Linked DNA regions of Styela clava. The protein of the gene in region 1 interacts with the protein of each later gene in a pairwise test. Links are inferred from orthologs where the notes say so. Each region holds a gene or a part of one and is shown on either strand. Other genes may lie near its edges.

Evidence for each region.
Region 2: the proteins of protein LTV1 homolog (region 1) and small ribosomal subunit protein uS3-like interact in a two-hybrid assay, tested with the Caenorhabditis elegans proteins (2 studies listed by BioGRID). The link is inferred for Styela clava from reciprocal best matches to the Caenorhabditis elegans genes T23D8.3 and rps-3.

The regions. Positions count from the first base shown.
Region 1 is NC_135257.1:4,847,583-4,851,344, forward strand, and holds the start of protein LTV1 homolog, read left to right. Parts: upstream 1-1,406; 5' UTR 1,407-1,480; coding exon 1,481-1,483; intron 1,484-1,791; coding exon 1,792-1,856; intron 1,857-2,104; coding exon 2,105-2,201; intron 2,202-3,762. Other genes in the region: uncharacterized protein LOC120346059, read left to right, coding at 206-739.
Region 2 is NC_135263.1:1,582,836-1,586,597, forward strand, and holds the start of small ribosomal subunit protein uS3-like, read left to right. Parts: upstream 1-1,182; 5' UTR 1,183-1,284; coding exon 1,285-1,314; intron 1,315-1,910; coding exon 1,911-2,041; intron 2,042-3,234; coding exon 3,235-3,328; intron 3,329-3,762. Other genes in the region: small integral membrane protein 20-like, read right to left, coding at 192-357.

The sequences.
Region 1 (3,762 bases):
TTCAATTTTTTCCTGCTGAATTGTCATAGTAATACTGCTAATTTTCGCTTTCTTGAGGGTAAATATTACTTAAGTCTGAAAGTTCATTAGATCTTGTATGTTGTTATGTGTGCCGAAATATTAAACAGTTTATCTATTCTTGTTAATTCAGCCTTGAATATTATAATGTTACTATCCCTCTATTTCAGGTTTGATATTCGATAGGATGGCTATGCTTCGTGTTGCATATGCCACAGTTTTTCGTAGTAGAGTTTTATTATTTACTCAACCACCTGTTTTTAACTTTTCTCAACAACAATCATGGATTCATTTAAATAAAAGTGTTCAGCAAAAATTTGAAGAATTTGAATCAGAAGAAAGGATTGACAAACTCGAAATCAAACAGATTAAAAATAAGGGGCAAAGCCCAGAAGATCCAATTCTTGTTGCATCTCCAACAGAAAAATGCATTGTGGGATGTACCTGCTCACCTGATGCTTGTACAGTGAACTGGTTTTATGTCAATGAAGGCGATCCTCAAACCTGTGATTGTGGATATTTTTTCAAACTAGTAAAAGTTGATCCAAAAGTTGAAGCAGTTCCTGAATATTCACGAATTATGTATGTTGATGATAAAAAAGATGACATTCGAAGTCAAGACAGAGGACCATCATTTTTGAAAAGAATATTTTCTAAAACTTCAAAAAATGTTTCACCACCCGCGTCAATGTCTTCTATAAAGAACAAACAAAATTTGTAACCCCTTCCCTCTAATAATAAATTTCTTCATAGTAAGCACATTAATTTTGGCGCACATAAACAGGGATGTCCAAAGCGAATCAAATAGTTGCTTTGGAATAATTTAGAGATTAATATGAATCTTTTTCTTTGCTCTTAGTTCGTTTTCAGTTTGGTATTGCATTGAGTTGACAAAAATTGTTTACTGATTACATCGAGGCTTATATTAAGTCTTCAAAAAATAGTAATTATTCATTGAATTTATCACTGAATAAGTATCTAAATATGGAATGAAAAGTACGAGTATTCCAGCTCCTGTATCTTACAGATATTGGGTAGCCAAATATTTTTGTATCAGATATAATATAGCATTCGTTACTCTATTTACCGCAGAATAACGCACTGTTATTATTGTTGTCTTACAATTGAATATCACCATGTTGATAAAATTACATGGCTTGTTTAATATGCATGCATTCATAATGTTTGGTTGTTGAATATTTTGTTTTTGATTATTATCAAAGAGGGTTTTACAAGAATATTTGGTTGTATTTTGATGCTGGTGCTTTTAATATAGCAATTCGGTAAAATATCATTTAATAATTTTTGTAAACTTTGATTATAAAGGATATGATAAGCATAATATGTGTCCGACATTGAATAACAGGCTTTTTGGTATTTTTATTTATAGACTGTAATATCTAGATTTCATTTACATACATATTAAACACTTCTTGTTTGACTGATATAGGCATTCTACAACATGGTAAGCACTTCCTATCACAGATTTCTTCGAGAAGTATTGCGTATTATTTGAAACTGAATATTGAATGTGTTATAAATTGGATTGTATTCAACAAAAGATTTGAAAATCTATATATTTACAGATGTTACAAATTTTTATACTGTAGAAAATCAGAACTAGACATTTTTCTTTAAATGAAAATATTCATAGTATTTCACAGTTTCACTTATTTTTGTCTAGTATGTAATATTGAGTGTTCAATCTGAAATTTCCCACCTGTTGTTTCCTATTATTTTTTGGGAAATATAAATATATTTTACACTTTTTAGCCTCATAAAACAAAGAGAAAGTTCATTGATAAGAAAAAGGCATTCACGTTTCAACTTGTCCACAGGTAACAAACTTGAATCATTCATATTATAGCTACCAAATCTAATAAGGAGAATAGTGTAGTATACACTATGACTCAATAAAATTTTTGATTTAAAAAATTGTTACACAGTTATAATATTGTATTCCAAATTGTTATAAAGTGAAGTTATTGTTTTTGACTTCCTATATTTTGCTCTGTGATTTAGTAATATTCTTTTGAAATTGTAAATATTTATTTGTTTTCCTGCTCTCATCCATTATATTTTTCAGGAGTCAGAAAGATCCTCTGGCTGCAGATGATGAAGCACCTCAACGTGTTCTTGTACCGCTGGATGAATCAATTTCACAGCATGAAAATATACAAGAAGTAGGCAATAGTTGAGAACTTTTAATAATACCTATAAGTTTTCTTGAATTTTTGAAGGCTTGAAATATATTGGAAACAGTGTTAACTCTAAGCGAATTATGAGTGCGAAAGTGCTTGGCAGTCGAAAAAAAAAGTGCGAAAGTGCTTTTGCCGATTTTAACAAGTTAGGTGCCCTAGCCTTTCATATAACCCATTTAAAACGACATAGATACTCGAAAAAGCGCTCCTCCGGTTAATATTATGAATTAAAGAGAAGCCTTTCCGTTAACAGAGTTCCCTTTAAGCGAATTCATGTTTAATTAAAACAAGCGAATTCATCGGCAACGAAAGGACATCTGCTAACACCTGCCGGGGACAAAACTTTCATGCAATGTATCACGGTGTCAGTTGCTTACTCGCATGAACAGCAAAGGCTTTCACATTTGTTACTCCTTCCATCTAACAGACACGAGGCAGGCTGGAAACCATATTAGTTACAGGGTGGATCGTTTGTACAAATCCCGTGCAAAATAATTTCCCCCTCCCCCCCCAAAATATAAATAGCATTCAACTAATTAGGGTTAGGTGCGCTGGAAAATCAACTTTCCGATTATCACTAAACCTAATCTGATAATTATTAATTTGTGATTTTGAACCACTTTGAAAGTCGCCACCCGCTGTTTTAAAAGATAGGTTAACCTACGTTCCCTCCGGAATATTACGCAGGATACTCCCCTGTTTTAGGAGATAGGTTGACCTACTTTCCTTTCAAACTTTTTTCTTCGAAATATTACACAAGATCACTTTGAAAATCCTCCCGTTTCGTGAGCTAGCGTGACCTAATTTATCATTTACATTCATATTATACTATTTCAGAGCTTACCCAAAGACAAGTAATTTTTAAATGTTGACATGCTTTGGTTTGCGTGCGAGTTAGTTTAAATCGGGCAGAAAACATCATATATTGGCAAAATGTTTAGGAATGCCATGTACTTTAAGTATTCATAAATAGCACTCTTTGTAATGCTGCTGACCTAGTATCAAATATTCGCATCACAACGCCACTTGCGAGGTTTCCATAAATTTCAAATACACTAATAGGAACGATGACACCAAAGAGTTTTCTTTTGCGGAGGTACACGAAATATAACGAGGGTGATTCTTGAAAAAAACATGAATATAAAAAATAAACGAATGATATGATAGTGGATCCCAAATAATTTTGAGAGTGTCTCGAAATACCAATCCATTTGATAAATAATTTTTATTCGACCACATGAACGCTGATATCCTGAAAATTAATGTTGAAAGATAAGTACGCATTCTCAGATATCGGACATCCAGTCGCGATATTCAATCGTTCATATGCACAAATCTCACATTAATAGTAATTGCTACCCAAGTTTGTAAAGTTTAGAAACCAACAAACAGAAAATAACTTATACTAAAACACAATTAAAATTTAGTCGGCAATAAATTCGTCGCCAAGACCATGCCATACAATACAAAAAAGATTTGGTCGCGAGAGTTACGTTAGATGACTGCAAAACGACGTTGTTTTTTAAGCAGAATTTAAAAAAAT
Region 2 (3,762 bases), on another chromosome or scaffold:
CCTGCCATCGTGCCAGACGACCTTGCTATATTTAACCAAACTTCAGGACATCTTGGAAACCAAATTTTAGCTTCAAAAACTATGCCATATCGGCATATGCAAGCCTTAATTAAAAAACAAGCAGGCATGAGTCAATAAATCTAGTCGAAATAAAAGACATAGCCTAACAGTACTGGCAAAACTCAACTTACGATAAGCTTTCGAATTATACAGCGGGTAAATGTAGATCGGTCCAAAAGCTGCTCCAAGAAATACTACAAACGCGGCGATTAACCGATAATTCCTCGGATTTTTCACGTTCTTCAAATTTGGTCTTTCTTTTAGTTGTTGAAGTAAGAAATTCCTGACGAAAACCATCGCTCGGAAGCCAGAAAACTCCGAAGTTCTTCGCTAACTCAACTGAAAATTTTGCAACAAATGAACTTTTGTCCTCTGGCGATAGGGTTCAATGAACAGCTACATAATTCTAACTGTACATCTTTCGCGATCATGAGAAAAATTTAATTTGAAAATATCGGAATACAGATATTTTCAAATTGATATTTCAATATAAATTAAAAAAAGTAATGTATATTAAACAGCTTTGTTTATGAACCGCTCCTTTTTTTACTTCATTTTATGCTTTTATATTTTTTGTATCCGTCAGTTTATTGTTCCAATCCAACGACTAACATACCGTTCCAATCTGTGTACTTACCATACCACTATTAGCGTATTTTTCGACATAAGATAGATAAAATAAAATATAAATAATTGTTTTTATATGTTCAGTATGTAGAAAGAAAGATAGATTCGTTGATTTGTCAACCAAATACAAATAAATAAAAGACATACAATAAATAGAGAATATTTTTGTTACGGACTCGAGGGAGCGATGAAACGTCATCAATGACTTTGATTTGCTTGTAAATGCTTTATGCAACCAGTTATTTTGCTACAGTACTAAATATCAAATATAAACCTATTAAACATAATTATAAAAAAAGAATAAAATGAGTTCAAGTTTGAAAAATTAGAAAGAAATTCAATATTTGCTTGGTAATATAACAAATTAACATTATGAGAATTGTTGTCCCTCAGTATTACAGAATTCTGCAATAGCTCACATATTTATTAATAATAACAAAATGTACAATATAGAATGATGAATTTTATTAAATTTCTTTCTCTTCCTCTCTTTCTAAATTTTCTTCAAACCAATGACCCAAAACGTGAGAATTTTTATGGAAACTCAGACGCGTCCTCCAGTGGTTCGCTCTTCCGTCCTTTTCCGAACTTGCGACGATGGCTACACAAGTCTCTAAGAAGCGCAAGGTATTTTGGTTAGTTTTTAGGAATTTATTCAACTATTTGCTTCGTATTTTTATAATTTTGTATACCTTATTACCTAGTTGATACATATTTTGTAAATTTACGATTTGTAGTGATTCAGTTATCTCGATGTATTTGGATAAAAATGAGATACTTCATCCTCGCTTGCTTTCGCGCGCACGCTTATAGCTATCAATGTAATGGATTCATCTGCAGTGTGGCAATGATGACTAAACTTAGGACACCGAAATACTTCTTGAATGATTAGAATTAAGTTACTCTAGCTGAGCCACACTACCAATAAGAATTTTGCACTTCTGGTTGATACTTGTTTTAAAAAAAAAAATTGGGTTAAATTCATAAGTCTCTTGAAATTTCGCATGAGGTATTGAATGAAAACGTAGCTAAGCTAAACAAATACCGTCTAAAACAGCTCTGAACAGAAAGCTTGACTCAACAGGGAAACTCATTTTCTCTAGTTTCATCTAGCAAATAAATTTGGGATCCAGTTAAAATTATAATATTTAATCTTAAACTGACCGTGATTAAATCCTGCTTACTTTGACTAAACTAAATAATATCAACCTCATTTTTTTAAGTTCGTTCGCGATGGCCTATTCAAGGCTGAATTGAATCAATTGTTATGGAAAGAGTTGGCAGAGGATGGTTACAGTGGGGTCGAAGTTCGTGTCACTCCATCTCGTACTGAGATCATCATCATGGCCACAAGGTGATGCATTGTTTTCCGAAGCTTCAAGCTGACTTTTTATTTCTTAGATGTTTTTTCCTTGGATCTCGTGTAGTTCCTGTAGAGATTTGAGTCTCGTGAAGCAAACGCCGTAATTGCTTAAATAACGCTAAACAAAAATGTAATGTGAAAATACATCCCAAATTTTCATTTTTTCTTCTTAAAATAAAAGTCAGTCTTGCCCGAGCGCAATACGGTTGCGCGCATGGGACAAACTGGAGGCAGACAACTCGACTCACAAGAGGACAGATAGGTCGTCCACCTTTCCGACGGCGACGTTTTAAAACCGTACGGGTGTAATTTCGATCTTTTCACATTAAAATTCCACATCACATTTTTGTTGGGTGTTATTTGAGCATTTACAGCGTTCTTTTCACATCACAATTTTGTTAGGCGTTATTTAAGCAAGTAAGTCGTTTACTTCACCAGAACACTGGATTTCATGTCCATTATCTACCAGAAATCTGGCATGCAAATCCAGTAGTTCCAGTGTGCAATCAGTGACTACGGCACGCTTATCGTCCCGAGCCTGCGTTCGAACCTACTGACATCGCGTGAAAATCTAGATTCTTAGTGCAAAACTAACAGAATAGCCTTAATAATCATGTGTAAAATTATTGAAATTGAACAACCAAAATTTTTGTGCTTTAAACTATTTAAAAAGCTGATGTTAAATGAAGGTGTGCCCCACGATTTCACTTAGTTATTTGTATCTGGCCCGAGTGTATTAAAGGTTTCTTGCAGACCTCGGTCTTCAGTATGCACCACAGCAATGATGACTAAACTTAGGACACCGAAATACTTCTTGAATGATTAAAATCATGTTACTCTACCTGAGCTGTTGGTGTATACTGTAATTTATGTTAAAATCTATAATGCCCAAAATCTGGGTTGTTTAGAGTGTCCCATACAATGATTCCAACGTGAAACGATTCTTGAATAATTACATTGGATGGTGTAGGCAAAAATATGCTTGCTCTAACCACTATTGATGTCCAAATTAGCATATTTATCAAATAAATGGTAAACTGGCATTAAACCTAATTTGATATAGTTTTAGTGGCTCGTGGTATTTTAACTTTGCTCATAGATTGGTCTACTTCTGAATGTTTTTTAGCAAAATGCCACATTCCCTTTTGAACAACTGCCAAAAATCACAATTTCTAATATTTCAGAACACAGAATGTTCTTGGCGAGAAGGGTCGCAGAATCCGTGAGCTCACAGCCATGGTTCAGAAAAGATTCAACTTTCCTGACGGAACTGTAGAGGTATAAGTTTACTTCATTGTTTTTTTTTACTCTGGACAAGGCTCTTAACCAGCGGTCTTACTACTTACTGAATACAGCGCGAAACACCGCAAAGAGCGCGAAACAGAGGGAAAGAGCGCAAAACAGGGAAACAGTGTGAAGCAGAAAAAAATTTTGCAATGAGTTCGGGGCACTTTGTTTTGAGTTGGATTACCACGGCAGCAAATTAAAAACACAAACCAACGTATGTAGCCAGTTATGCTGTAATGGCAGGTCTGCCCCTGCTGGTGACACATTTTGGGTACCATAATTTAGAACATTTTCCATGTGGATATGGTTGGCTTTAGGGTTAGGTGAAAAGGGACCTCCAGAAGTATGTGCACCAAGATGGCGCACAACCTGAAAATAGTATGTGTGTGTGTAGCGGATTCAGGTTGTGCGACATATTGCTGCAC